6 separate regions of the Mus musculus genome follow, and all the other regions are reported to be linked to region 3. The links are microRNA targets in miRTarBase. Many come from high-throughput screens and were not tested one by one. Region 3 holds a microRNA gene; each other region holds the end of a gene's coding sequence. Distances are between the middles of the regions.

Evidence for each region. The annotated mature microRNA mmu-miR-425-5p reads AAUGACACGAUCACUCCCGUUGA and lies in region 3 at 2,644-2,666, opposite strand. An mRNA with a match to its seed (bases 2 to 7 or 8) in the 3' UTR can be bound and repressed. Matches are read on the target gene's strand: a 7mer-m8 pairs with bases 2 to 8, a 7mer-A1 pairs with bases 2 to 7 and ends in A, and an 8mer does both.
Region 1: miRTarBase lists Foxred2 as a target of mmu-miR-425-5p. The part of its 3' UTR that is shown has no 7-base or 8-base seed match.
Region 2: the mRNA of Adam23 is a reported target of mmu-miR-425-5p. The part of its 3' UTR that is shown has no 7-base or 8-base seed match.
Region 4: miRTarBase lists Acaca as a target of mmu-miR-425-5p. The part of its 3' UTR that is shown has no 7-base or 8-base seed match.
Region 5: miRTarBase lists Nsg2 as a target of mmu-miR-425-5p. The part of its 3' UTR that is shown has no 7-base or 8-base seed match.
Region 6: the mRNA of Gnb5 is a reported target of mmu-miR-425-5p. The part of its 3' UTR that is shown has no 7-base or 8-base seed match.

The regions. Positions count from the first base shown.
Region 1 is chr15:77,938,724-77,943,796 of GRCm38, forward strand. Foxred2 (FAD-dependent oxidoreductase domain containing 2) reads right to left here. Exons shown (of 9, transcript NM_001017983.2): 9 at 1,799-4,669. The coding sequence ends at 4,437. Among named protein-coding and RNA genes, the nearest start is that of Txn2, 12 kb to the left of the region's middle.
Region 2 is chr1:63,592,103-63,597,175 of GRCm38, forward strand. It overlaps Adam23 (a disintegrin and metallopeptidase domain 23), which reads left to right. Exons shown (of 26, transcript NM_011780.3): 26 at 506-3,999. The coding sequence ends at 554. Among named protein-coding and RNA genes, the nearest start is that of Gm22281, 19 kb to the left of the region's middle.
Region 3 is chr9:108,566,382-108,571,454 of GRCm38, reverse strand. Mir425 (microRNA 425) reads right to left here and starts at 2,678; the gene lies at 2,594-2,678. Ndufaf3 (NADH:ubiquinone oxidoreductase complex assembly factor 3) reads left to right here and starts at 4,019. Exons shown (of 5, transcript NM_023247.2): 1 at 4,019-4,604; 2 at 4,704-4,899; 3 at 5,048-5,073. The coding sequence starts at 4,528. It overlaps Dalrd3 (DALR anticodon binding domain containing 3), which reads right to left and starts at 1,563. Exons shown (of 12, transcript NM_026378.3): 1 at 1,380-1,563; 2 at 1,010-1,305; 3 at 641-891; 4 at 484-563; 5 at 282-410; 6 at 1-9. The coding sequence starts at 1,544. It overlaps Mir191 (microRNA 191), which reads right to left and starts at 3,136; the gene lies at 3,063-3,136.
Region 4 is chr11:84,398,851-84,403,923 of GRCm38, reverse strand. Acaca (acetyl-Coenzyme A carboxylase alpha) reads right to left here. Exons shown (of 54, transcript NM_133360.2): 54 at 2,273-4,364. The coding sequence ends at 4,241. Among named protein-coding and RNA genes, the nearest start is that of Aatf, 110 kb to the left of the region's middle.
Region 5 is chr11:32,057,040-32,062,112 of GRCm38, forward strand. Nsg2 (neuron specific gene family member 2) reads left to right here. Exons shown (of 5, transcript NM_008741.4): 5 at 404-2,172. The coding sequence ends at 595. Among named protein-coding and RNA genes, the nearest start is that of Gm12108, 42 kb to the right of the region's middle.
Region 6 is chr9:75,344,032-75,349,104 of GRCm38, reverse strand. It overlaps Gnb5 (guanine nucleotide binding protein (G protein), beta 5), which reads right to left. Exons shown (of 13, transcript NM_010313.2): 12 at 4,458-4,624; 13 at 3,182-4,152. The coding sequence ends at 4,141. Bcl2l10 (Bcl2-like 10) reads right to left here and starts at 1,347. Exons shown (of 2, transcript NM_013479.2): 1 at 750-1,347. The coding sequence starts at 1,202.

The sequences.
Region 1 (5,073 bases), not on the chromosome of region 3:
CTTGTGTGTGTGGTTTCGTTGTGGGGTATTCCCCAGAGAAGTCTGCTCAGACATGGGTGTAAGCCAATGGAAAGTCTTTATTAGCTGGCCACCGACTACAATGGGTGTTCAGGATCCCAATGTAGCACCGAGCCTTTCTCAGGATGACCTTTTAAGCACCAAAACCATGTTCTGGGCTGACACACTTGAGTTAACAAGAACAGTTAGCTAAAGTCAGAACTACCAAAGCTAAAAAGCAAGGCTAGTACATTTAGAGACTTTCCTATAACTATGGACTTTGGTCGATTAGGTTTTTGTCTTCATCTGGCTGATGCTACTATCGACTTCTGAGTTTTACAGCCTGAATGGCTCTTCCATAATGAGGTCAGTTGTGCTAAGGTCTGGGGCCCTGTTGCAGTTTGAGGTAGGTCTCATGCAGTTCAGGGTGGCTTCAAACTCACATATAGCTGAGGTTGGTCCTTTCAATTGGGATTATAGACCTGTAACATTATACTTGGCTGACATGGGCTTTTTTTTTTTTTTTTTTTTTTTTTTTGAGATATCATATAATGTGTTCTAGGTTAGCTTCTACGTTCAGTGTAGAGTTGAGAGCTTGGCCTTGACTTTTGGATCCTCCTGGTTCTGCCTCCTAAGGGTCCTGGGATTACAGACGTATGCCACCATGCTGGACCACCATGATTCCAGGGCTTTGTGTGTTTTAGGCAAGCATTCTACCACCTGAGCCACATCCCCTGGCCACAGATTTGCTTATTGGCCAGTCGGTTTCCAAGTAGACTTCAGGGACTTTTATCAGACAGAAGGAATTTGGTGCTGTCCAAGGCATTGGAGACCAGCCCGGGGGGTAGGGTGGGGGTGTCTCTCCCACATGAGGAATTTTATCTCTGATTTCCTATCATTTGAGAGAAGATGCTTCCAAGGATGGCTATGCTATGCTGTCTCTGAATTCAGACTCCACACAGGAGTGCATCAGTCACCCACTTCCTTAGCCTTCCTTCCAACCACTCACATCCTATTTTATTGTTTTTGTTTTTAAGGCAGGATCTCCTTATGTAGCTGTTGGAGTAGAACTCCTTACATAGACCAGGTTGGCCTTGAACTTGCAGAAACTCACCTGCTCCTCCTTATGCCTTCCAAGGGCTGGGATTAAAGATATCTTTTATAGGAGCTGGAGAGATGATGGTTTAGTGGTTACGAGTACTCACTGCTCTTCCAAAGGTCCTAACTTCAACTGCCAGCACCCATGTGGCAGCTCACACCTGTCTGATGCCCTTTTCTGGAGCACAGATGTCATGCAGACGAAGTACTCATGTGCATAAAGGACATAAATAAGTAAGTCTTAAAAAAAAAAAAAAGATATCTTTTAGCCAGGCGTGGTGGCGCATGCCTTTAATCCCAGCACTTGGGAGGCAGAGGCAGGCAGATTTCTGAGTTTGAGGACAGCCTGGTCTACAGAGTGAGTTCCAGGACAGCCAGGGCTACACAGAGAAACCCTGTCTCCAAAAACAAAAACAAAAAACAAAAAAAGATGTCTTTTGTATCCCAGCGTGATCTTGAACTTCTGACCCCCCTGCCTCTACCCCCTACCTCCCAAGTGCTAGGATTACAAGTGTCTCTCCCTACTCTGTCTCTGGGCACGCTTGCACCCAATGCATAATGCAGGGTGCTCCTTTCCTTTTAGTGATTCCTTCTAGGGCGCCTCTACTCTGGCCACCACAAGGACCAGCACAGTAGAGCACAGCCTCTTGCAAGACTCCCATGTCTACTCTTTCCCAGCCATCCCAAAATGCCAGAGCAGAAATTGTTTAAAAATAAATGTATTTTTTATTTCAGTAGCATATAATCACATTCGAAAAATAAACACAAATTTGATCCAAAGAGGAATAAAGAACCTTGTCCCACAGTCCCAGCAGAGCCACCGTGGTTTCCTATCATCACAGCTTCAAGCAGCTGCTGCCCCCTCACCGGTGCCACATCGTATGCAGTGTTGTGGGGAAAACTCCTCAGCCCTTCCCTACACCCTCAAGGGATGATCATGAGAAGTTACATAACTCCTTTTTGTGTCTCTCACTTATTTCAACCATTTCTTCACCATAATTATTCCTGCTTACTGACTGACTGATTGAGAGAAGATTGATTGATTGATTGATTGATTGAGAGAAGGTCTCATATAACTCTAGCTGGCCTGAAATTTACTGAGTCAACCAGGCTGGTCTTGAATTCACAAGAGATTCTCCACCCCATGCTTTGGGCATGCTAAGATTTAAGGCATATACCACCATGCCCAGTTATTTTTGTCCTTTTAAAGTTTCTTTGAGAGAGGATCTTTTTAAGTTGCCCATACTGGGACTCTCCATGTAGCCCAGGCTAGCTTTAAACCTCAGTTCTCCTGCCCTGGCCACCCTAATGCTAGGACACCGGTGTGTGCCACATCTAGCTTGCCTTACTTCTAATCTTTTCTTCAAAACAGTTATGGGGAAGGGGTTCCGGAGCAATTGGCTCAGCACTTACTGCTCTCCCAGAGGATTTGAGCTCAGCTCTCAGCCCCACACATGGTGGCTTACAACCTCCTGTAACTCCAGCTTTAAGGGACTCTGACACCCTCTTCTGGTCTCTGGGCACCTTCACTCATGTACACATAACCCACAAACAAGTACACATAAGTAAAAATAAATCTAAAAAAAGAAAGTTTTATGGTTCAAGCTTGTAATCCCAATACTTGAGAGGCTGAGGCAGGAGAATGACTGTGAGTCCAAGTGCAGGCTGGGCTATATAATAAGTACCAGGCCAGGACACGGAATCCCTATGGGGTGGGGGAAGCAGAAGACATCTCTAGTCAACTGAGCAAGAACAGAATACTCTGTGTTAAAAACAAATAAGGCTGCCTGATATTTTGATGGAATCAACGATCTGGCAGATGACAGGAAGCAGCAGATGTCTTACACAAGGGTGTCAGCCAGCTACTTGCTAAGGCACCAAACAAGTGGCTCAGCCATCCTCGATGACTGGAGGGCGAGATGTAAGGAGCAGGTTTCAATTTTGTTGTGCTAAATCAAAGACTCATTTGAAAATGCTTTGGAGAAGAGGGTGGGGTGGCAGGGTCCCAGTTTGGCTTGCCAATCAATCTGTGTGGAATATGGCAACACTGACATCCTGGGTTTGGATGATGACTTAGTTAGAAGGTTTGGCACTGTGCAAACTACCCCAAATAGGTACAGGGGTACACAGTTCCCCCTGGTGACATGAAGGTGTTGAATTCTCCTGTTGGCATCTGGTAGGCCAGAAAGGAAGATGGCTGCAGGTAGGTCAGATGGCTAAGAGAGCTTGGACCCAGCCACGACTCTCCTATGGAGAGAGGATGATCCCACGAAGGGGCTTTGGGTTGTGTCCCTGGACGTCTGACGACCTCCATGACGACTGATGGAGGCTGGTGAGGAACAGTACCTGCACTCTGGGGCTATGGGAAATCATGACGTGATCACCATGCTGTACTTGCGGGCAATGCTTTCCCCATGGCTTCTTTGCTAATCTGTTGGCTGAGCGTGGACTCGGGAGGGAAAGCAAGGAAGAGAGGAGCATCAGGGCAGCCCAGAGCTGGGCAAGCGTCAACATTTCTGTGCCCACGGCGGCAGGCACAGCATCACCTTAAACCTGCCCAGGCAGGCCTCAGGAAGGCATGGCTCAGGGTGCCAGGCAGCAGGGTGGGAGAGGGACACACAGGCTGCCAATGCCTGGGAGTGTGATCTTGGGGACAGGGCAGCACTGAGGTGCCCTGCTCCCGAGAACTCAGTTGGACAGATGACCTTGCAGGACTTTCCTGTCTCTGCCCCCATACAAGCCCTCTGGGCCTGTGATACCCAGCCTGACTGCCAGGGAAGGCATCACAGTGTGAAAAGGAAGGGTGGCATAGGGGCAGGCCTCCTGGATAAGGACACTAGGAGATATCTGATGCTTCTGAGTTGGGGTCCATATCTGTACTGGGAAGCAGAGATCCCAACTGTCTGCCCCACTGCTGAAGACTCTAAACCTTGACTCTCATATGCCCACTGTGGAAACGAGGGGCCTTCAGCTTTGAGATGTTCCCCAGGTAGGGCCAAGGCCATCTGCAGAGTGAACCAGAAGGAAAATGAAAAGGCGTTTGGCTGGTCCTAGAAGCAGGCACACAAGGCCAGCATGGTGCTTACTTAGTGATGGTCCAAGTTGGACACAAGCTGGATGTGGAAGGCAGCTCATACCTGACAGAAGGTACCCTCCTCTTGACCTTGCATCTAGCACCAGGGGCCAGCACAGGAAGGGACACCACTCTGTGACTGTAACCCAGCCTTCTGCACTCTATGGGCAGTCCCATTGTCTGTTATCTCTGTGATGGTCCTGGTGGGAGAAGAGGCTTCCCCGGTTTTCTGGAGAGGTGCCAGGCACCATAGTCTGGGGGAGGATGCTCAGAGCTCCTCTTTGTTGCTGTCAAGGGATTGAGTCAGAGGCTCTGGAGCTGTGGAGTGGTCACCAAGCCACCTATTGCTGTTCTCCATGGCCGTGTAGTCCTGCAGGAGCCTGCTTTCCACACCATGCTGCCAAAGGCTCTTGGTGCTTGAGAGCCCCTGCATTCTCAGGTATCCCTGCTGGCAAAAGGGCGGCAGCCTCTGGCGTGTGAGTGTGAACAGGAAACAGGACTCTATGTGAAGACAAAAGGAGGTGTCAGGCCAGGCTTGGGAGACAAGCACGGAGAGGAGCTGGGGCAATGCTGGGGACCTAGGTAACCACATAGTATACTTTCTACCTAGCAGTCATCTTGGTTTTCATATTGTATATACGACTCTATACTCCCTGCACTTAGCCATCACTATCAACAGGACCAACACAGTGGTATAATATACCTGAGTTGGGTAACCCTTACGTGCTGATTAGCTTTCTGACTGCTGGACACAGGCTAGGGTCATCTGGGAAGAGGGCCCCATTTTATTTTATTTTATTTTATTTTTATTTTTTGTTTTTTCAAGACAGGGTTTCTCTGTATAGCCCTGGCTGTTCTGGAACTCACTTTGTAGACCAGACTGGCCTCGAACTCAGAAATCCACC
Region 2 (5,073 bases), not on the chromosome of region 3:
GCCAACTTTCCACCATGAGAAGTGCCTGTTCCTTAGTGGAGTAAGACCTCACACACCCAAGGCAGAAATAGCCAGGCAGAGCAAGGATTTGGTGAGCTCTGTTGCTACAGAGCTCTGGGGGTTTGGAGGGAACAGCTACAAGACCTTCCAAGTTCTTCCTAGTTCTCATAGGTGAAAACTACTATGCTGTAGTACTTTTCATCTGGTGAATTAGCAATGGTTTTTGCTTCTGAAATTAGACCAATTTGTGGTTGAAAATGAACAATCTGAAGTTTCCCCTAGTGTTCCCCAAAGTGTGTAGTCTCAATGGGGAAATGCAAACATGTTCCAAAACATTAGCTTTTCTTTGTTTCTGATTACTTGGAGACTGCCTCTGTGTGAGTGGATTACTCTGCTCTGGGACACGCACCATTGTTGTTGTCATCATTTGTCTCTCACTGTCATCTGATTAATATTGTGGCTTCTCTTTTCCTCTTTCTGCATCTTCTTTGACGTACTCTGGAAGAAACGTCAAGAAGAGGAGATTCGATCCCACTCAGCAAGGCCCCATCTGAATCGTCTGCACTGGAGGAATGCCACCTTGCACTGTTGGGTTCTGGGAATGACATGTTTTCAGCCATGCTGCCGGAACTCTTAAGTCTGTAAAGAAGACCCTTGGGTGGTAATGACTACAGAGCCTCAGATCTGAGAATTGGGATGGGGTACAAGACAAAGGTCCCTTTTGGAAATAACTTCAAGTAACCCCCCCCCCATCACCTGTCAATAACGGGGAGGGGTTAAAGACCATGTCATTAAAAAAAACAACAACAACTTCAGAATCCTTTTTTTTCTTTTTAACTAAAGGAGAAGGGAGTAGCAACAAGTGCAATAAAAGAACAAATAGCAAATGACCCTGCCCCCCAGCCTGCTGGCACTTAATATTTTCTAAATGATTTGGCATGATTTTTTTTCCTTTTACTATCAAGGACAAACTCCAGTGGCATGAAGATCCAATTTTGGAAAGGGTAAAAACTGCATGGCATATATAACAACAAGCTAGCAAGCCAACCTTCAGCAAATCCTACAGTGGAAATCCCGAGGGGAAGATGACAGATGACCACACAAACGCTACCTGGGTCTGGATTAATGCCTTTCCATCCTCCACCACCCCCCCTCCACCTCTGCCCTGGCCAACCCTTTCCCTACGTGCCCCTGGCCCACTCTAAACACGCCCATGGCAGCACTCATCTGGACTGTGTTCTTGTTGATCCGCTGTACCCATCATTTCTCTCCTGGACCAAGCATCCTCTGGCAATGGGAGCTGGAACTTGAGCAATGCTATTGTACAGTTCTTTTCTAAGTGTAGATATGGAAACAAGATTTCAATATGCCATTTTGCTTGTCTGTATGGAAATGTTTTCCGTGCGAAGATTCTGTCTATACTTGAGTTTGTTGCTTGCTCCACATCTTATTTTTCTTTCTTTTCTGTCATTTTCTTTCCTCCTTTGTCTCTGTCCTCTCTTTTAACATGTCCACCAATTGTTGAGCTTGCTTAACAAGACAGAAGTAGCCACAGATGCAGGGAGTTTGGGCACAAATCTAGTATGTTTGAAACCAAATATTAAAAGGGGGGGGGGGACACAGAAAATAACCCATAACAAGAACACAAAAGATTATGTAAATGTGAGTGTATATGTACTGATGGACCTAACACTTTTGATGTCATCATAAGCACATGTATATACTGTAGGAAAACAGACCCTTCTCAAATTAATCACAAAAGTGCCAAGCTCATTGTTTTAGTTTCTGGTTTCGACAGCTCTCTTTCCCTGTCGTAAATGTGAAAGGAGGAGAAACTTAAAGCCTTAAATAAAAAAATTAATAACTTTCAAATGCTGGAAGCTTGGAAAAAGTTAAGCTTTCCATTCTGTTCATATTCAAATGTATTTTTTTTATATGTATAAATTTCATTTATACTTCATCTAACTGCCTCGGGAAGTAGCCTGTGTGACAGAGCCCCAGTGTGGCGAGGCAGCACAGCTGGTCATTTCTGCTCATTTCAGGTTGTCATTCTGAATGGTGATTCCAGGAACTCACCCTGCTCAGTGTTTTGCTGAGACTCTGGGTTGCGATGGGATTCCACTGTGTATGAATCCACACCCTTCTTTTTCCTCCAGGTAGCTGGGGAGATCCCAGGACTGTCTGAGTTTCCCTCATCTTCCCCCATTCCTTCTTTAAGTATTGCCAGGAGAGCTTCCAATGCAATCCTAAGGGAACAGGCTACTGAGGAAATTCTCTCAGGTTTGTTTCGGACATGCAGGTGTACAGTGAACACCCATCAAGAACTCAGACCCGCCAGAGAGCCCCTACTTCTCCACTGGCCCATTTTTACCAAGAAGACATCCAGATAAACTATGCATTTCTTCCCGGCACTGAGTTACTTTTTACATTTAGCTCTAAGGCCCTCTCCAGCAAGACTCATGTCTTAAGTTTTACAACATATTCCTTGACTAGAAGGGAGGAGGATTTCCTAAAAATAGACTGCATGAAACTGGACTTTCCCTCCTCCCCCAAAGATATCTTTAAGTGTTGGCTTTTCACCCTCACAGAGCAGAAACCTTGATTGCTATATACTACCCCAAACCATAACAACATCTTAACCTTCGGATGGCTTTCTGAGAAACAGGTGCTATGCAGGTATGCAGTCTTTCGCTTGAATTTGCTGTTTGTTTATATAGTAATAACAGCGCTATCTATAAGGCTTACTGGCCTTATTCCTGGTTCCATAAGACACAGGCTGTACCCCTTTACTGAATGGCATGGGCTCAGCTTGGAGGAAGGTCAGAGGAAATTCAGATAACTTGGTATCTCTTCCTGTCGTTGCAATGTTTCGGGGTCCACTTCACTATGAGATACCAAGCAGCTGCCAACCTCACCATACTCATTTCGTTACAATTTCTGAGGCACCGTGGTGACTTGATCCGACATACGACCACGTCAGTTACAAACCAGATCTTTATGGTTAACTTTTGAACATTTCACAAACAACATTGTAAATGTGCGATGTTATGTTTTAAATCAGACCACAGTGGTCCCCAAATATTATGTACATATGACAAATGTCAGTGTAACTTTTTGTTACACTGACAGTTTCATAGGTAAACAAACCTACGCTCCAATGTTAAATTATGCTTGTGTATGTAAAATACACAAGCATTGGGCTATGTGTGTACGGACATGAGGGTAGTGCAATCGTACTGTACGAAATGGGTCAGAATCATTTTCAGTGGTGTTAGGTTATGTAGTTTCAGACTCCATGCTGCATTTTCTCTTGCACATGCCATCCATTTGCTTATTTTGGAGTGTGAGTATTCCTTCTTATTAATTTGAATTCAAAGCACAAGCCTCCCATTGTTCAACATTACCCAACAAGAGTGTCCAGTGATGACCGAGTTATCTCACCTGCTATACTTTTACTGCAATAATTAATGACACCTGGATGAGGAGGCGTGCGCTGACTTCATTGTTCACCCGGGATAGTGCATGAGCCCACTGAATTAGAGCTGCTTCTACCAGCAAAGTGAGCAGTACACATAGGTGCATGTTTGAAACATGAATCACATAGAGCTATGGAGTTTTGCCAAGTGATGTGTTTTCTTTTTCTTTTTTCTTTTTTTTTCTTTTTCTTCTTTTTTTTCCTTTTCTTCTTCTTCTTCTTTTTTTTTTTTTTTTTTTACTATGCAAAGATGGGAAATGCACAAACTTCCAAGACATGTCTGAAGAACTTTACAATACTTGAATTTTTTCTTTAATCATCCCATCACATTTATGGTCATTGATGCTTCCATTGTTATTTTTCTTTTGTTCCCTTCAACTTCAATGGTTTGTAAATTTTCAATGCACAACCTGAACTTTTGTTTGAAGTTAACTTCCAATCCTATTGGCTGCCTGTGAACGGAGATTCTGTCATCCTTACACGCATCTTTTAGTTGACTGTGCATTAAAAGTTTTATTAATGTAGGATGTTGTAGTTTTGTGCTCTGATTGGTTTTTCTTAACTCTTGTTTCTGTGTTTTCTTGCATTATTGGTTAAGTGGCTATGTGCCTGTTATTGTCTGGGTTTTGGCAGTCACAATCAAAGGTTCACTACAAATTGAAGCAGCCAATGGAGCAAAATAAACTCTCTGGTTAATGGTAAACATGTTCTGGATTAGGGCTCAGTTTTATTAGAGTCATTGGGAGTTCTTTGCCCCATATGAAACAGAAAGCCAAACACAAAACAAACAGGACAAGCATCATACCACTGTTGATTTTATTTTGAGTTTTTAGTGTTTGTCCCTGAGTTTAAAGAGTGGCTGGTTAGCAGTAACATCCATACTTTGACTTGGTACCAAATTAACAATGAAAGTGTGTGCTTGCACACATGAGGAAGGAGAAGGAGAGAGGAGATGAAAGGAGGAGGAGACAGCAGCATCATCTGGTTATGTACATTACATCAAAAGCATTTAAAGTAAGGGACCCTGGTAGCTCATATAAAATTAACCAACCATTTATATTCCTCATGGTGAAACATCTTTACTATCTCTTCCCTGCACCCTACGGCCATGCCTCAGTTATCGGTGAGACACAGCACAGACAGACACACATAGGTGCTGTCTACACTGCTGTCATCACGAAAGTCTTGCAGCCTTCTTCATTTCCTGCAGGGAACTTTCCAGACTCGGTAATGAACCTGTGAGCTGCTGAGCTCATGACCTCACCGGCTTGATCGTCAAGTCTAACTGTCTCTCATCTTGCCTTAGTCATCTTAAAGTTCCCCTAAAGGAGCCTGTGCTACCAAGTCTGAATAATCTCCTCAAATTTTACATCCATTTTTCTGTAATTCTTTTGTTACTGTGTAATTTCATGTAATAAAGGAAATGCAGAAACACTTAAATAGCACAAATAGCATACTTAAGAAAGTAAGCACACGGTGCCATTTATAGTTGACTTTAAAGGAATGATCTCAAGCAATCTTTCTTTTCAAGACAAGGCTTCTTCTCTGTCTAGCCCTGGCTGTCCTGGATGGAAGTAGCGCTGTAGACCAGACTGGCC
Region 3 (5,073 bases):
CAGGTGTTTCTGTGAAAGACTGGAAGGGCTCAGCCCAGTTGGCACTACCCTCCCCGCTTCAGGGAACTATATCAGTTGCTTTTCTACCTTGGTTTTCCCAATCTGTAACCACCAGCCTTCCTTCGTACCTCCTCAAGACACCATCATCCTTTTTCTTAAGACTACATAGTCACAGGACATTTGCACTTGTAGCACGGGTGCCTATGGTCACATCAGTCTCTAAACCCCATGGTATTCCAGGCCTGAGGTCGGAGGTGGTTTGGTTAACTTTGGTAACCAACCTGCTTGTGAGGAGCCCGGTCATCCAATTTCTGCCAGAGCAAATCCAGCTTTTGTTGCTGGAATGCCTCTTCACAGCTAACCACGTGTATAACCACGCAGTCATCTACACCAGCATCTGGACGCCCAGCCTGAGGAGAGATGGGGCAGTTACTACAAAGATACAAAAATCCAGTTTGGGCAGAGGTCAAGGCAGCCACTCACCGGGCCTGGGTGGCCGCCCTCTGGCCAGTGGCGCACAGCCTCCTGCAGCTCCGAGAGCACAGAGAGCACATCTTCAGTCACTACAGAAAACAAGAGGTGTTGAAGTGCCTGGCAGTGCAGAGACACAACCCCACCCATGTTCTGCCGTTTGTCCTACCCAAACAGTGGTCTATGCTGGGGTCATAGCCAGCAGTGCCTCTCTGTTCTACCAGTTCCTTCAGACACAGTCGGCCTAGGACGCCAGGGGGCAGCGTCGCTTCCTTAGAACCATTAAGGTTTGCAAGAACACAGGTTCTCAGTGTTTCGGTCGAGGTGCTCTTCGAGGCAGTGGGCCATTCCACCCGAAGTTTCTGGAGGAAAGTTGACATGTGAGGGTCCCGCACCGGGGGCACTGAGCACACACGTACCCTGCAAAGCAAGGGAGGCTGTCTCAGCCTGCGGACCAGGCTTAGATTATCATGACTCCCACCTTTTCTATCCCCAAATGTTCGGTCTTTTGCCATTATAGCTTCGAACACGCACTTACCCATGAGCACGCAGTACCCGTACTAGATGATCGGCTACGAGCACGGCACGCAGCTGGCTCAATCGGAGCGTCCCCGAATTACAGCGCAGTGCTGGGCAGTGTAGGACAACTCGCGGGCCTGGTGAGGCAGGTTTGGCGGGAGTAGCATAGGAGGCCAGGGCACCGAGTACATGTTCGAAGACAGCGGGCCGCTGTAGTTGGAGCGATAAACCCGCGGGTGTCGGCGCGCAGCGCAGTACAGGGGCCACTCCGGGACCCTGCAGGCAGGAGACCGCACGGAACACGCACTCTGGCACCTGCAGGCAGATGTGTGTAAGTGGGCCGTAGTTCCGTGGATCCCGCTAGGCATGCCCCACAGGAGCGCACCCACCTGGCCGTCCCTGAAGCGCGCCTGTAGCGCGCTTCGCGGTGCCAAGAAGTCTCGAACACGAAGGTGCCGGGCATGGGTTTCCTTAAACCACACTGGGCTACCAGGCCCTACAGCTGCATTAAGGGCCTCCAGCGTCTCGCCAACCCCAAGGCGCCCGGTCGCCATGGCGACCGGAAGACTAAATGGAACAGGAAGTAAGTTATCCGTAGAGCTTCCGGGAGGTCCGCCTGGCGGGGGCGGGGATCCGGCCGTGGACTCTCCTGAATGGACCAGAGCGATCGAGCATGCCAAGTGAGCTTACATTCTACCCACGCCTCCAGCTCTCCCTCCCGATGGCCTTTCCTGTATTCATGAGCCCTAACCTCCAAATTTGAGGGTCCATTTTTCCTCCTTTTTAAAAAAATCGTCACCCCGAATTATTACTTTGATAACGGATCTTTGTTACCAGGCAAGACACTTTGCCACCAAAGTTTCACATCTTTGTGTTTATGTCTCTTTTTTCTTTTTCTGCCCCATTTAAACAAATTAAAGGCCAGACGCACGAGACGAAATGTCAAAGGAATAAGGCTGTACCATTAATGACACTTTGTTTTTCAAGACAGGGTTTCACTGTGTAGCCATGGCTGTCCTGGAACTCTTTGTAGACCAGAAAGTCCTTGAACTCAGAAATCCACCTGCCTCTGCCTCCTGAGTACTGGGATTAAAGGTGTGTGCCACCACTCGTGTCTTCCATTAAAGACTCTTTACCGCCTACTTGGAAAAGTAACGAAACAAAGCAAAATTTGAGTTCTGATTATTGGTACGCCTTTCCTCGGCTGCGGTATGGAATGTCTTTATTCCCAGTAAAAGCCCAATCGGATAGAATTGCCCATCTTGATACCCGAGGAATTAGTCATCATGATTCCAGGATTACCAGCCTTTAATGTTTTTCCTTTAAACTGGTGTTACCGGCACCTTTGGTTCTTTAGGCAACTGGTCAGTTTAAGACAAATGTGATGATGAGAAGACCCAAATAAGCAGAGCTCTCAGGTAGAGCAAGCTGCAGGTGAGCTTTTCTATGTCCAAACTCTTTCGTTTCCAAGTAACGTGAAACTCCACTTCCCCCAGTAATGAATGAATCCAACCGGTGAACTTTGCTCCGGAGAGGAGTGACATCTAGAGATAGGAAAAGTTCGGGAAGGCCGGGGCTATGAGGCCCTGTTTGGGAGGTGCCGAAAGAGCACTGGGCGGACACGACATTCCCGATGGCTTCTTGGGTGCCCACTCAACGGGAGTGATCGTGTCATTCCAAAGCACTTTCCATGCTGTGGTGTGGGTTCAGCTGCTAGCAGGGCTGGGACCCACCAGCAAGTTGGTGATTTTAGCTACTCTCCCTCCATGAAGACGGTTGGGGTGGGTTTTCCCCAGGAAGTGAAGATCTATCTTTAGCGAGCTGCGGGCTGGGCGGCCTTGTGGGACTCACCGCCATTGCGGCCCTTCAGAGAGAGGACCCAGGACCTCCCTGGTCAGAGTTCTCCAGGGATTCCAGACAGGGCCATCAGCCCGAGCTTTTTTCGTCGCCTCTGACTGCCACCATCAGTCTGGGGGTGCACCTGAGAGATGGAGATCAGAATGGCCCAGTAGTGTAGTGTTTCTGAGAATAGAGACCACATTATCTGGGCCAGGGCGCTGCTCAGGCAGGAGAGCAGGGAACGAAATCCAAGTGCAGCTGGAATGCTCTGGAGACAACAGCTGCTTTTGGGATTCCGTTGCCCGCTGTCCAGCCATTGGAGGAGGGCTCTTGCTCCCAGGTCACTCGCCCTGAGGCCAAACCGGAACCCGCCCATCCCTTCCCAGTGGGCTGAGTAGGAAGGAGTAGGTGTTTTAAACCAGTCTAGTGAGAATGAGACGCTCACCTGGGCCCCAGAACAATAGAAGGTGGGGGCATCCCCCGGGACGAGGTCCTGATCCGGATTAGATCAGAAGGGCTGGATTAGCCCTGTGAGTCCCAAGCAGGAGCCACTTGTACCGGGCAGGCTTCGGAATCCGTCAAGAGGGAAGCGATTCCGTGAGACCCGAGAGGAAGTAAACCCATGTGTCCACTTCTGGGACTCCCCAAAGCTTAGGACCTTTTGTCTGGTGACGGTGCCAGCTCATGAAGTGCCAGGGGCCAAACTGGCCCACATAGCAGCGGCAGGACAGCCTCCCCCCAAGCCCATTGCAACCGGCCCTGCAAAGAACCCCACAGCCAAGCCCCATTTGTGTCAAGCATCCCACCCGTCTAGTCCAGCGGATAGAGAACGCGACAAAGTTCCTCTGAGGCCAGGACAGAACCGGTGCGCAGAGATGCCCATGCCGCGGGACGCCAAGGACTCATGCGCCAGTAGGCCCTAGACTCAGCTCAAGACAGGGGGAGGGAGACTCTCGGTACGCGCGCGCAGAGCGCGCAAGGGCGGGGTGGTGCTCCAGGCGCGGTCTACTTCACGTCTGGTCCGGTTTGGCCCAGTCAGTCCCACTCGAACAGCTACTCCAGCACTGCCACGGCGTGCCCTTCCGCTGGCTCTAGCTGTCCCCAGACTTGGAGCCATTTTAAGGAGAAACCATCTGGCCACACCCCCTCGCGCTGCCGGGAAGCCAATCCATGCTCGGCCACGCCTCTCATGGAGCGCTGCGCCGTCGCCAACGGTCGCGCTGGTGACGGTTGGGGAAAGCAGCGATTTCGAGACTAGCTAGGGAAATTTTAGCCATCTGCCCCGCCCCCGGAGCCCGATTCTCCAAAGCCTGGGATTAAGGGCCTGGAGGCTGGCACCACACCCTGGCCAGGTGTTCATAACAGGACCAGGTGCGCAGCTGCCCCGCCCTGGTCCCTGGGAGCCCGAATAATGGCTGAGAATCCCAGGAACAGGCCGCGGCAGTGGCCTAAACAATACCCTTAGGGCGCCCGTACTAGCAGGTGTTTTTCCCCCTCCTCCTTAGGGACTGTCGCTGGAGGCATGGGGCGGGGTGGGCGACAGGTGCTGACACACCCGCATGGGGAGACAGAGGCTCTGCATTGGCCTACTGCGCCGTTCAAGGTGCGCGGTGCCCTCCGGGACGCAAGGGGCGCTGTGGCTACTTTGAGACAGACAACTCTGTCCCTACGACCGGGTCGTTAAGCGCCGTTGCAGCCATGGCTACTGCTCTAGGATTTCGCTGCCTTTTCCGAACGCGACCTGCGCCGCTCTGTCGGCACGTCGACCGGCTGTGGTGAGCATCCCCTGTCCAGCCTCTGACCACTTGGCCTCGGACCTTTCAATCCCGCATAGTCCGGCCGGGCCACGACTTCCTGACTTTAGCCCTCCGCAGGAGGAACCCGCGTCGGGGACACCGGCTTTCTCCGGCGGACGATGAGTTATACCAGCGGACTCGCATCTCACTGCTGCAAAGCGAGTTCCCTCAGGCCGTGTACATCGACAGCTACAGTAGCAGAGGCTTCACTATCTGCGGAAATCGCGTGTTTGGCCCTTGCGTGCTGCTCCCACAGACGGTGGTCCAGTGGAACGTGAGCCTTCTCCCCTACATTGAAATTTAAATAGCGCCAGAAGCCACTCCCTCCTAGCAAATTTAGCTTTATTTTGTTGCCTATTAGTGTCGCTGTGAGTAAAGGCTGTATAGATTTGATGTGTTGAATGGCCTCTGCTACCATACAGGTGGGATCTCATCAGGATATCACTGA
Region 4 (5,073 bases), not on the chromosome of region 3:
TCCCCTGAACCCACGGTGTCTTCTCATCTACACACACACACACACACACACACACACACACATACACACACACACACACACACACACACACAGACACTGTGGCACCCTTGAACCTTCACTCACACACAAAATAAGAAAAACAACTGCTCTGAGAACTTGCTAGTAATATCCGGCAATGGATTCGTGGTATCTAGACTCTGGGAAAGCTGTTACAATCCACACTGTGCAGGCAAGGTGTCGGAAGCTTTCCCAGGGATGGAAATGAAGAGCCCAGCTTGGGAGACTCACCTGGTCCAGTTTTGGGGCAGGGTCTTGCTATGGCCCTAGCCTGGCTTGGAATTCCTGTGAACTTCTTGTTCTGCCTCCAGATTGCTGGGATTAAAGGTGTAACACACCTAAGAGGTGTGTGCCACAGTTCTTTCTGTGAAATGACTATCAAAGAGCCAGAAAGTCCAGGCAGAATGCTGTTAGCCTTTTCCTAGTTCCAAGCCTGAGCTTTTTGTGTGGTTTCAGTCTCTCCTCATCTCTAGCAACCTCCCTGCTTCCTCTAGAGTAATCGAGTCATTCAGCCCCACTGACTAAGATCTAGCCTGTCCACTACCCAGTGGAGCCTGCTCTGGCTTCCTATCTTCCTGGGGTGGGGGCGCCATTATTCTACTTTCTCACCAACTGCAGGGCACCTTCTTTCGAGAGACACAGCTTACTAGAGTACTGAGTTTATGAAGCTGTCCTAATACCAGTACGGGTTTTCAGCCACAAGGCAGCCAGTTATGTCCAGGATCAGAGAAACTCCCCAGTAGACACAAAGACAGCTTAGATGCCTTCTTGGAGTATAGAAAATAGCTGTCGGTCTAGTATTATTTTCAGTCCCTGCCCAGGGACCACACATACACACGGGAGGTGAGCTTGGACTCAGATTTTGTGGTACCCAGGACAGTGCTCCTTTTTTTCCTTTTCTTTTTGTGCAGGCCCTAGTCTAAACCTTCCCACACATTCAGATATCAGGAGCAGCTGGCTTCTGGTCTGATACCAGTGGTGTCCCAGTGGCCATTAATAACTGCAGACACCAACACTTCGTTCTGACAAGAGGCTTCCAGTCTTAGTTGTCTGTGTACTCATGCTCATTTGGGCCTCCCCAGGGGGACTGCAGGCAGTGAGAGCCTATCTTAGCAGCACAGAGTGGTGCTAGCTAAGCTCCGGGTCTGCTGAAAGCCCATACCCTGGCCCCTCAGCTGCAGAGCAGGTTTCTGTGCTGACGCAGATCCCTGTTCAAAGGGTGCAGCTGCAGGCAGGGAAGCAGTTCTCATGAGGATTCTGTATCCCTCTACTTCTTGCTTTGACACAGGCTCATCTATAGACCAGGGTGGCCTAGATCTCACAATCCTCAACCCCTTGAACGCTAGATTATAAGCATGGGCCCCAAAGCCCGGCTCAAGCTTCTCTTCTTGCTCCTCTTTCTAGAACACTGACTTAAGGGAGCTAATATATCTTAATATGTTATTCATAAAAAGGATTACCCCCTGCTTAGAAACAATTCCCCCAAAACAAAACCGAACTTAATAATCCAAGACCCCCTACTACCCTGCTTTGCTGCCTCCGTTCCTGGGGATGGGGGTGGGGCACAGAGCTTGTTCTGAGGAAGTGGGGGAGGGAGAGTCAAGGACACATAATCATGACTTTCCTGCCCCCTAGTGCTCTAAGTGCTCAGACTTTAGAACCCAGAAAGCCTAAAAAACATCCTCAAGGATGGGGTGGTCCCAGAACTCATAATGCTGAGGACAGTGGAGTCCTGTGTACTGGCAGGGAGCACGGTTCAGGGTTTCAAAGATTTTTGGGTGGCTTTTCTCTGGGCTGGGACTCTGGAGCTGGTACCCACAAACAGGCTGAATTCCTTCTTCCTAAGGTCTTTCTTGTCCCTACCCTAAACTAATTCTCCTTTGGGGGAGTGACTTGTCAGGACTCCCACCTGGATCTTGGCAGTAAAAATTCTATAGTAGAACACTCTATGGGAAAACACCCCTAGAGAACTTGTATTTAGCTGGAAGGATCTGGAATACTGGTAGTGTCAGAACATAGGGCAGGCCAAGGCCAGCACTGGACAAAGCTGTCCTGCTCTTACCCTGTTCATTCTTAGCAATTTCAGGAGACAAAGGCTAGCTGGCACTGTAGAGCCAAGGAGGGGTTTGTCCCTTCTCTGGCCCCTGTAGTTCTGCTGAAAGTGGGACCAGATAATGGGTGGCTGCGGGCATGAGTTGAAATGACAAACGGTGGCTCTTCTACAAATGTGGAGGTTTATTTCAACAAAACGTGAGAAGAGTGCATTGGACTGAAGCCCCTGCTCGCTGGCGTGTGTGTCCATCGAACTCTCACTGACACGTGTGAAGGCTGCTTTGTGAACAAGTGGACAGATAATATGGCAATCTCAGTTCAAGCCAGTCTGGGTCAATACATCATTCACCCTCCTCCTCAGTAACCCTGCATGTGTAATGGGCTGTGGTACCATCACACTGCCCATGTGCCGTGGCTCTGACTTCTCCGTATTGAGACGGCCCGGTCCCGGGGATGGGGCAGCAGGGAAAAGGGACTTATACAAGCCCAGCCCACTCCACCTCTCCAGGAAAGCAGCTTTCATACCACCGGGGGTGTGGGATTGGACGTGCTGTAGCAAAAGTGGAGGCCAGAGATAAATCCCATCCTTACCTACCAGGTAAGCAGGGAACCAGGGGCCAGGGAGCTTCCTTCTGGACTAAGGATGCTCCCCACCTGATCCAGCTCTGGCCCTCCTGTTCCTTCCACCAGGGCTTGTGGGGGTGGGGCAACTTGCATCTATAGTCCCTTGGATGTCCACTTGCAATGTGGCACCATTGAGAAGGTCCTCTGGAATATCTGCTTGAGGTGCTCCTGAAGGGGAGGTCAGCTCTTTTCGTGGAATCCAGGTTAAGGCTCAGACTGAAGTACTCACTTGAATGGTTTCTGTGGCAGGTATCTTTTTCCTTCTCGATCTTCAGCGACAGATGTATTAGTCATAAAGTTGAAACTGGATGTTATACGAGTTATGATCATCTTCATTCTTGCTTTATGAACACAAATGCTGAACCATCAGCTGCTTTCTTGGACAAATGGGTAGTTAAACTTTTCAGGCCACCCCTGAGGAAGCCGTGTTGCTGGCCACATAGGGCCCAGAAGTCTGGAAACACCAGCACCGAGACTGAACTGTAAGGTATCTTAAGGGCAGGTGAATTCTTGTTCCCTGGAAGCCTCCTAACATCAAGAAGGCCAGTTTCTGGTGCTGAAAGCACAGGTGTCATCAGGTGGGTGACCCGCCATACCTTCTGCCAGGAATAGGCATGGCCCCATAGTGACAACCTGTCCCCAGAAGAGACTTCTCCTGTTTTGAAGTACTCTTCCCCTATCACCAACAGAAAAGAGCCTCCTCTTAGCCACCTCAGGCTCCTGCACTGCCTGCCTGTCTCCATCCACCCGCAGAGGCTAGGGCCCTTATGCACAGGCCTTTAGCTCCTAGGTATAGTCACTATGTGATTACATAGTGATAAGGTGGTGGCAGGGTGACCGTCTCCCCAGGGATACTGAGACGCCACTGAGGTGGTTGAGTGTGTTTGACCAGGAACAATGACATGATCTGGTTTTGAGCCTGCCTGTTAGATCATGGCTTTGCCTTTATCTCTGTGTTCTCACGGGCTTGCGACAGATTTTCTGCTCTGACATTTCTCAGTTATCTTGCTGTGGTTAGATGGGACTGTCTCTCTCCAGTGCCTGGCATGTGCTTGGTTGCAATGTGGGGTAGTGATCGATGGACTTGCGTCTCCTGGCAGCCCCAGCCCTCCCCTGTTGGCTGTGGCTCATGGGGCAGGGGCTGCAGACACTTGGACACTGTTCACACGACCCTATGCTGGGGCAGGCAGGACGGAGGGCAGTCCTGCTTTAGTCTAGTAAGACCTCATGGTACAGGCAAGTACCTTTCATTGCCTTCTCAGTCCTGTGCATGGGAAGAGGACTGTCATCATAGCTGGGCTAATAAATACTGAATCGGGTATGTGTGACTGGGCTGTGTGATCCTATAGCCCAGGATGTCATGCAGAGCCTGAAACACTCAAGGGAAGCAAATGCCACTGATCCAGTCTCAGGCCTCCGGTGCCTTCTCATTACAGTGGTCTCAGATGGGAGAGGCAGCCCGACTCTCTTCTCCAGAGACAGGGCAGGGGTGGGCGGGAAGCTCCTCCTACGTGGAAGGGGAATCCATAGTGGAGAGGATCCTTACAACTTCTGCTCGCTGGGTGGGTGAGATGTGCTGGGTCATGTGGACGATGGAGTCCATGGCGACTTCTGGGTTGGCCTGGACCAAGCTGCAGAGAAGATTAGGGATCGTGAAGAAGAGATAGGTAGAAGGCCTCAACTGGCTTGCTTAAGAACTGCCAGACAGATAGGCTAACAGGGGCTGGCATACACACTGTGCTCACCGCGTCATGGACTTTCCTATGCTCAAATGTAGCTAGGTATCTAGGGAGCAGTTTAAAATGAACTAGAAAACATCTTTCTATGTTAGAAAATAAGGAGTAATTAAAAAATAACCCCCAAAGAAAAAATGACGGGGACACAATAACAGTGGTGCCGGCAGGAAGGGCACTTCTTAGACACATAGAATAGTAGTGCCAAATGTCCCATAGCAAACTATAAAATAAGGTTAGTAGAAATAGTCTACATCAATAATGAGTATAGAAATGTATCAGGGAAGACAGGGGCTCTTGCTTGCAGAGTTTGAGTGGAGTATAATTGTGGAAGACAGAATTCAGATCAAGAACTATTGAGCTTGGCTAGGCAATAGAATTTTAACATCAGGGTCAGATGGTCTTTGGGTGCCTTTTAGTGGGGTGGCCAGAACACTGCATGTATGATGATATGGCCATAATGCAGAACTTGAATCACAAAGAAACATCAGATAACCTAAAATAAGAATGTTCTATAGGCCATGCAGTGGCGGTGCACTCCTTTAATCCCAGCACTTGGGAGGCAGAAGGCAGGCGGATTTCTGAGTTCGAGGCCAGCCAGGTCTAC
Region 5 (5,073 bases), not on the chromosome of region 3:
TGCAGATAAATACATAAGGAAATACATATTAATGTTAGGAACCAATAACTTTACTAAAAAAAACAAATACATATATAAAACAAAGGACATGAAATTGTCATTATCTGTGGACAATGGCCCAGACAGCCACTGGGGACCTGATGTCATGCTACCAAGAGCAGTGTCGTATGGCCATCAAGCCTATGTGTCTGGTCTTACCTCAGTACCAACAGTAGGTATATTTCCTCTCCTCTGAAGATGGTGATGGTATAATCTTGGGGAAGGTCTACTGTGGCCAGGTGCAGGAGAAGAGTCCCCTGTGGGGTACTTGATGGAACTGAAGTCCCTGCACAGGCCATCAGCGTCCCCGTGGGTGCCAGCAGCCCACCCGGCTACTCCTGACTCTTATCTCTTTCTTCCCCAGCACAAGCGCTGTATCCCGGCCTCGCTGGATGCTTACTACTCGTCCCAGGACCCCAGCTCCAGGAGCCGCTTCTACACAGTCATCAGCCACTACAGTGTGGCCAAGCAGAGCACTGCCCGGGCCATCGGGCCATGGCTGTCAGCAGCTGCTGTCATCCATGAGCCCAAGCCACCCAAGACGCAGGGCCATTAGAGGTCTGCCCCAGCTGGGATGGGGGTGGGTGGGTGGAGAGGGAAACCCCCCTCCCCACTAGTTAAGCAAGGCTGGAGCTACAAGACAATACTGTACTGCTAGGGTACGGGGTGGGGGCGGGGCAGGATGGGGTCTGGGGAGCACTCCCCAAAAATATTGTGCACTGGAGTTGTCTGAATCGATCTTTCCTTTTGTTCTTTTGTATTGTTGCTTCGTACCCAAGTCAGGCTCGTGTACAAAGGCATGTTTCGCGTTGATTGTTCCCATGTAAGATATTTTCAAAGCCGCCGCTTATTCTTTGTTAGGATAATTTAGAGACAGAAAGGGGAGCCGGATAAAATGAATTTAAAAAGCATGAAACGGGCTCCACGTGGAAGACACAGCAGGGCAGTAAAGAGCAGAGTCTGTCTGGGACTTCTTAGATAAGGCCCCATGGCTTCTGTGTGGGCGTCCGAGTACTGCGTGGCGAAGGGTGGGCTGTTCAGTTTGCCTGTGGTCTGCAGGAGAGAAGCACAGCGATGGCAGGCAAGGCTGATTTGGAGAGGAAGGTGATGTTGGCATTTCTCAACTAGGAATGCACAGAGTACCACTCAATGGTGAGCTTGCAAGATTTGCACAAACTCATGGGGGAGGCATCCACGCTCAGCCCTGGGCAGCCCATGGGGACCTAGGCTCCGATGCTCACAGGGCGGCTGTTGTGCCTCAGCAAACACAGGCGTGGATAGATGTTGTCTTTCTTTTGTTTTTCTAGGTGTATCCCTAGATGCTGCCCGTGTTTTCAAGATGGCAGGGGTGGGAAGGGAGAGAAAGGAAGAGAGGTCAGGCGGGCCGCTCTGGACCCAGCTAAAAGCATAGGCACCCGGTTTCACCCGGGTTTTGCTTTTTCCCCAAAGCGCTAATGACAGCAGGAATGACAATTGAATTCTAGTTAGTTGAAATCTGACAGCCGGGAAGAAACTTGAAGATTGGGCAGGCAGTGCTCATTCCTAAAAGAAGCTGGAGAAGGTGACTGTTTGCTCACTGTGTTGTGTTGACAGAGTTGTCCAGACTTCCCAGCTAGGTTCTAGAAGCACCTGACAGGGAGGTGTGGCCAACATCCTTAGGCTTCTCACTGGCACTTTAGCAAGGGCCTCCTGCTTCTCGCGAGCATTCCAGGAAATCCCTTTTCTTGGAGGTGCTGGCCCCAGGTCCAAGAGAATGAGAACTGGCCAGGGGAATTGCCCATTTGGTCTGCATAGGCCGTTTAAGGGTATTTTTTTGTGGCTTGCTATATTGCTGAAATTATTGTACACAGCAGCTGGGTAATAGGAATAGTATATCTCAAACCATCCTGCCAGATACTCTCATCTGATTTCTCCTCCCTCCCCCCATCTTCCCATCACCTTGAGTCACCTGTAAATTCATTTGTCATCTGAAACGGATCAACAAATCTTCCCTAGCAAAACCACAGAGCGCTTTATAATTTTGTGGTGTATTTTTGTCAGTAGGTAGCAGAGGCTGAAGTATTTTTTGGTGTAATTCTTGAAATTTTCTGACAGGAAAAAAAAATAAACATAGATGTGTCTGAGTGTCCTGACTGTCTGTCCATCTGTCCTTGACGGCTTGACCTTCTGCTCAGTGAACCTCATGGGAATGCTAGGGGCACAGGAGGTGGGATTGGTAAGTCCAGGAGCAGAGTGCCCTATGACGTGGGAGGAGAAACTGGGATAGTGTGTGTGGGGGGGGGTCTCTATCTTAAAGTAAGTATAGCCTGATACACTGCTAAAGTCCTGGCACGATGCGGAGCCCTGGGCAAGATCCTGAAGCCCTACAAAATCTTAAGGACTACTCATGATCCTGAGAATGTCACGTGACACCAGAGCCTCATGTGGTAAAGAGGTCAAGATATGCCACTAAGGAGCTAATAGGATGCCGAAGGACCCTATGATATGATATATGAAGTATCATGATATGACATGAAGTATGTTATACCAAGAGGCCTGCAATGCTGAGGTTATGATATGCTGCTGCTGTTATGATTGATTCAGAAGGCCTGACATAATACCGTGGGCATTACATGATGCTGAGCATTTGATAAGATGCTGAGATCCTCATGGTGCAGAAGGTCTGACAGACAGGATGCTAACTAAGGGCCTTACATAATGCTGGCCCTGCGTCATGGTCCTGACATCATAGCAAGGCACTGACATGCCGGTTAAGGGACCACCATGGTGACCCTGTATTTTACTACCTGATCACATATTGTGGTTCTCAGCTGGTGCTGAGCACCTGCATATGATATTCAGTTTCTAAAATGCTGCTTGCAGGCCTGCCTTGATGCTGAGTGGCATGTGACATTGAGGTCCCAACATGATGCTGAAGTCACAGCGCTATTCTGAAGTCCTCGTAGGATATTAAAACAAGGTCCTGACATGGCGCTGAGCTCTAAACATGACAATATTGAATGTCTAACATGACACAGAGGTCCAGACATGACAGAGAAGACATAACATGATACTGGAGATCCATTCATGATGCAGGTACTGACAAGATGTCAAGGTCTGGACACAAGGCTGAAGACCTCCTCTGATGCTGACCCCCCTGCCATGACACTTAGGGCATGGTATGCTAAATAGGCTCTGACATGACATTAGACTCGTGCTATTTTTCTGAGGGCATTACATGAGGCTGAGGACCTAATGTAATCCGAGTGACAGACACAATGCTGAGGTTCTGGTGGTGATAGATGAATCCTGTGGTTCTGATAGATGAATCTGGTACTGACATGACATGAGATGTTCGTGAGGTGACATGAGATGTTACATGATACTGAAGAAATAGCAGATGCAGAGGGAATGAATAATGTTGGTTTCATTCCATAATGCTCAGGAACTCATGTGATAATGCAGATGCTGAGGTCAGGACTTGTTGCTAAGGATCTGACAATGTGCTCACATCCAGAAATGTTGCTGAGGTCCCATCCTAGTGAGGACATCTTGTGATGCTTAGGACCTCACATGATGCAGAGATAATGGCATAATTATGAGGTCCTGGCCTGATTCAGATTGCCTGATATATTGCTAAGGTCTCACATAATGCCAAGGCCCTGTCACGATACTCAGGTTTGACATGATATCACAGACGTCCTGACATGGTTTGGAGGATATGACATGAACCCAAGATTCTAACATGAACTGAGGTCCCTCGTGATGTGGAGGGCATGAAGTGGTCCTGAGGTCCTGACCTTACTGAATGCCTGGTGTGATTCTGCCATGATGCTTGCCATGATGCTAAGGGCTGGGTGCTGATGTGATCCTGAAGGCTTGAAGGCTGAGTCCCTGACTTCCTGACGTGTTGAGACCTTGACATGACACTCAAAAGCTGGTTAGACGCTGGGGGGGGGGGGGGTTGGGGAGAACATGGTAAGAGATTGAAGTCCTGACATATGACTAAGCTCCTCCCATTATTCTGAGACTCTGAAATAAAACATTATCCTGCAGTCCTGACATGATGCCAGGACTTCACACCATGCTGCTTCCCTGACAGGAGGGTGTAGTCCTGACATGATGCTGAGAGCCTGGTATGGTGAGAATTTAAATAAGGAGTATTTCTGTCCACTTTGTGTTGGTACAAGAGCATATACACAGAGCGCTATGAATAGAAATGAATCTTCTTTCTCACAGGCCTGGTTGCTAGGAGTTCAGTATCAAGGTAGTGACACCTTCTAGGGAGGCAAAGAGGGGGTGTAAGAGAGCAAAGACTCCACCTCAAGCAGCAAGCCCGTTTATATTCAGCATTAATCTGTCCATGAGGCTAGAGTCCTCATGGCCTGAAAATCTCCCACTAAGCCTCACTTTCAATAGTGTTGTGATAGGGATCAAGTTTCTAACACATACTTTTGGGAGGGACAGATTTAAACCATTGCATACAGTCACTGCCCTGAAGCTTAGAGACAAAATTAGATACAGAAATAGTCAGTGGCAAAAGAGGGTCTGTCTGCTGAAGGCTCTGCTGTCTCGCTAGCCAGCGGCTCAGGGAGGAAGCAGGGAGCCAGCACTGGGTCTGCTGTTTTAGCATGCTTTAGGCGGTGGTCATTGGCATCACTGAACAACTGAAAGCTTGAAGCCAAGGTGCATGAAGAGGTGCCCATGGGCTCTGCTAGAGAAACTTGGGTTAAATCTAGGTTGAGCGATCCCATGACCCCTTTCCGTTGTGTGTCAGACCCCAAACAGCATGGGCACAATCACAGCCCACTTCCCAGAACATCAAACTGCAGTTTTCACAGACGCGAACTTGCTTATTCTTAGCCTGAATTCAGTCCCAGTGTTCAATGCTAAGAATAGCAAATGCCCTTTGGTATGCCAAGTGCTAAGCGCTCACCAGTTCCAAGAGGGAGCCACCCCTACCTTCGATATCACTGCCATCGACTGTCACTACCACTTCCGTCTCAAGTGCACAAACATCAGTGAAGCTGTGTTTGAGGTGATGTGGCAAAGCGG
Region 6 (5,073 bases), 33 Mb from region 3:
GGGCTTCACAGATGCTAACAGTCTACCATCAAGCTTTTTATCCTCATCCTGTGTGTTTTCCTTGATCAATAGCTCCATGCAGCTGGAGGGAGGCTAAGGACTGCCTCGTTAGCCTACACCACCGAGATTAAGGACCAACCGAAAGCCATGAGCCTGGAGGTTGCCCAGCAGGGAAAAGTACAGTGGCCTAAAAGATCCCAGTCAGGCTCCTCACTTGGTGGCCCCACACATTTCACAATCCCTAAGGCCTTACTCTAATAAGGGTAAGTCTGGGCATGGTTACTGCTCCCTTTATACCACTTGGGCCTATTAGACTTAATCAACCCTCCCTGACAGTCCTGGGCTAAGAGTTAGGGTAAGCCAAGTGTGCCTGACTGCCCCTGAATGAAGTTTTATAAAAGCTATTGAGTAAGAGCAGCCTATAAAGAAATCCCTGAAAAAAAAAAAAAAAAAAAAAAAAAAAAAAAGAAATCCCTGGGCTGGAGATGTGGCTCACTTAGTTCTTGCCCAGTATGCTCAAAGCCCTGGCTTCCCCTTCTAGCACCACAAAAACCCACCATAATGACATAGCCTGTAATCCTGGTGCTCATGGGATAGAAGCAGGAGGACCATAGTGGCAGGGTAGTATCTGGTGAGGTTTGAGGCCAGCCTAGGCTGGCTACATAAGACCCTGCGGTAAAGGCACTCAACACATCCTCCTGTGCCCCGTCTCCCAAGCCATCTCCGTCACCCTCCTCCAGTGGTCTCACCCAGCCGCCGAGAGCCTCCAGCCTGGCGCGGTGCCGACGCCCCATGAGCAGATTATACAGAAAGTTCACTATGAGACAGCAGTCTCGGGTCACTATGACACGATTCCCCAGATCCCTCTTCTGCTTGACAGCCATGTAAGGGCCTTGATTCATAAGCGTCCCCGCGAAGGCCAGGAGCATCACCAGTTGGCTCCAGCTGAAGTCTTGGTCTTTGGAGAGCAACTTATCTGCCATCTGTTTCACCAGCTCCAGGCGATTGCCCCGGCTTTCGCAGAAGGAGGAAAAAAATTCTTGGTGCTCCTGCTGGATCTGCCTAGTCACAGAGCGAAGCAAGGCCGCCTCGACAGACGTGGGCGGTGGCTCTGGGGTGTCCGGCTCCCGTGCGCAGAAGAATATGTAGTCAGACAGCAGCCGTCTAGTGCGTTCATGCAGTGGGTCCTGCGAGTCGGCCATCCTTTGGCTCCTGCACCCGGTCCAACCTCAGTAGGCTTTCTAGGCTCAGCTACTTCCCACTCTGACCCACCTGGACATTTGGGAATATCACTTGCACCTGGTACAAGGAGAGCGTCATGGGGTGGGGCAAGCAGGAGCAGCGGGAGACCCTCGGATTATTGTTGAGGTTTAAATAGATGGGGGCTGGAACTTTCTAGGGAGTGAATAGGTCATTCTCCTGCCTCAGCCTCCGGAGTTGCTGGGATTACAGACTTGAGTCATCAGGCCCAGCTGGTAGCGATTGCAATTGGCCTACTTGTTTGGGAATTAAGGATATACCCATCATTTTGCAAGTGGTTGTCCCAGGCTGGAGGAGGCAAGGTGGCCCCAACCCCTGACTCTTGCCTATTTCTGACCTACCAGCAATGCCTCCTAGAGCCTGTCTGTTCTCCATTGATACATTTCTAGTACAGTGGTTCTCAACTTTCCCAATGCGGCTATCTTCAGGTTGTGGTGACCCCAACTATAAAATGATAGTTGCTACTTCAAAACTGTAATTTTGCTACTGTTATGAAGCATAATGTAATATCTAATATGTAATATGTAGGATATCTAATATATGGCTCCCACAGGGGTTGAGACCCATAGGTTGAGAACCACTGCTCTACTGAGCAGGCCTGCTGGGCTCTAGCCTTTGTGGGCCCTCTCGGGGCTCCTTTTTGGCATTCTGTGATGCTGATGTTACCCCAAGTTTCCTCAGAGGCCTTCTCCCAGAGGCCAACTCTGCCCAGTTGTCCTGGTCCCTTCTTTAAGCCCACACTCTCTAGAGTTCTGCTTTAATCCAGGAGAGTCTTCCTGGGGGCCTGAGGGGCAGCAAAGAGAGCTCTTTAGAGTGTGGAAGTATAATCCAGAACCCTTCTGAGTCCCTGAGACGCTTTCAGGGCTCCTGAGGGATATTTACATAATATTAATGACATGACAAAAATATATGTGGCTTTTTGTCACTCTGAGTTCCGCAGAGACTGCTGAAGTGGGGACAGTGCCATTCTGCTGACTGGAAGAATGTTGTTCTGTATTCTGAGGGTCTCTGTAAGGAGCATGGGGCTGGGGCTACAAAGCCAGCACTAAGCAAAGAGCCAGGCAGAGTAGGATAAGACAAGACAGACAATCTAGAGACACACATACCCCCTTCTTTTCAGGGTCAACAAATCTTTGGCTGGTCAGACACCCAAGGCCATCCACAATGCCAGTTTTTTTAGCAGTGTCTGAGGTGTCCTTTGGTTCCCAGTACACTTAAACAAAACAGAATTAAGCATTCTTTTAAAAGATGAGGTCTTGGAGCTGGGGCTATATTTCAGTTGGTAGAGCGTGAATCCTGAGGGAAGGCCTGGATCTGATCTCTAGCAGCACCTACAGTCTTAGTGCATCTAGTGTGCAGGGCACGCTGGCCGATCAACATCTGAGAGGCCAAGGCAGAGGGATAGAAAGTTCCCAAGCATACTTGACAATGTAGAAGGTTTGAGGCAGCCATGATACCTTGTTTCATTATAAACATAACAAGAGGCAGGGAGGGAGACTGCTCAGTGGGTAAGGATGCTTGCTACCAACTGGGCCTGACAACCTGAGTTCCATCTGACTTCCTGACTTCCACTGTTTATACTCTGACCTCCACGTGGGCTCTGTGGCCTGTGTATTCACGACCACACACAGAGAATTAAAAAAAAAAAATCAAATAGATGAATAAATAAATAAATACCAGAGCAAAACAAAAACATTGAGAAGATGAGGCCTCACTATGTGGCTGAGGCTGAACTTGATCTCTTGGCTTCAAGCTATCCTTTGGCCTCTGCTTCTCTGTACCTGAACTTAAAAGTATGTGCCACCATTTCTATTAACATGGCATCTCATTACACGAAGAGTTTCTAAAAGAACAAACCTCTACACCTTTAAAAGAACAAAAGGAAGAAAAAGCAGGGACCTTGTAATACACAGGAGCCAGTCGCATCTAGAAGGAATTTATGATTCAAATAAAGACAAGATACCCCTTGGATAACAAAGACATTATTATTATTCATGGCCTGCCCACCAGTCTGTGTCAGTACAACTGCTGTGCAGGACATTCGAATATAATTTATAGGGACAACACACAGTTTATCTTAGGCATTTCTGATAACACTACTAGCAGGCTTTTAAATCAGTTTAGTGGCCTGTCTTCCCATGCCAGAAGGTTCTGTTTGCTCTCTGCAGTATTTGTGCTAGGAATGGCAACCTGTTTTGCCCTCAAGTGTCGGGGATGCTCAGCCTAGACTGCCATCGATCACAAGTGAATTATACAGTTTTTTTTTTCTGTTTTCTGCATGTGTCCGTTTCATTTCTAAAGACTCCCCCAGACCCTCATCCCCCAAAACAAAACCAAACATTATCTTAAAAAAGACAACTGAACAGGTTGAAAAAAGATAATTTTACCTAAAAACAGTTTTAAAAAGTGGTTCTGTGTAGTTACATCTGGAAATAGAATTTCCTTCTATTACAGACCAGTGAACATTCTTTCTTACAGTCCACATAACCGGCACATCCCAAGGATGGTTCTAGAAGCCACAGTCCACGCCAAGAAAAGGTACAGTTTAAAGTGCTCTGAAGACAGACTAGATCCAAGGAAACAACGAGGGACATTTTAAATGCTGATAAATGTGAAATTCCATTGGCTGGAATAATTTCAAAAACAGACAGAACTTAGCAGAGTTTTTGAGATGACAGAAGGGCTTGAAGGTCCAGTTGAAGTGCCACGGCCTATCCGAGTGTTTCCAGGGAGGGGGCAGATTTCATGGAGACACTGGACGGGGTGAGTGAGTGCCGAGCTGTGAGGTTGCTCCCATAAGCTAACCTGTGGGAAGCCCTGGGCTCATGGAGAAGTCATATCTACACGAGAGGACACACATTCTTGAACGCTGTCAGAAGATTATGCCCAAACCTGAGAAGACACAGATAGGTACTTTTTAATAGTTAATAGTTTAAGAGTTGAGTTTAATGTTTAAAGATATGAAGTTAGAGTGTACACACATATACATACACATATGCATTCACGCTCACACACTCCACTGAACAGGGCTTCAGCCTATTTTCTCACCACCATGTTGAACACCTGTGTGCACGAGGCTCCCAACCTCCCAGAGACAACCACTTGTCACCTGTATCTCTGGACAGGGGCAGAGATTGCTCAGGAAGGCCACCACCCGTCCTCTCTGTTCACACAGGAAAATGGAACACCCTTCTTACTCTTAGGGTGTGATCCCATGATCCCGAGCAGAATGCTGTCCCATCAGGAGACACTCGCAGAGTGCTGACGCGGTTTTCATGTCCAAACAGGATGGAGACCCGGGAGCCCTTGAGAACATCCCAGACATTGATGGTATAGTCATTGTACCCAGCAAAAAGCAGGCGACCTGGAAGAAGATATAATGGTTAAATCAGTTCCTGTTTTTCCTTTCTTGACTCTCATTCACTCACTCACTCACTCTCTCATTCACCAATTAATTTCATCATCCATCCATCTATCTACCCTCTCACTCACCACCCTTCCGCCCACCCACTCACCTATCTACCCACCCATCCATCCAACCATCTACCCTTCCATTCATACATCCACCCAGCCACCCACCCAGCCACCCACCCACGAATCCACTTACCCACTCACTCACTTATCCACTCACCTAGCTACCCCACCATCCACACAATAAACACAGATTAATCTAGGCCACTGTATGGCAGGCAATGTGTGTTGCCTTTGCAATTCAGGAGAAGTAGTCATTGTCTTCTGGGGAAGGCATGGAACAGAGAGGACTATCACTGTAGTACCATGTGGTAGAAGCCACCATGCTAGGGTCACATGTGT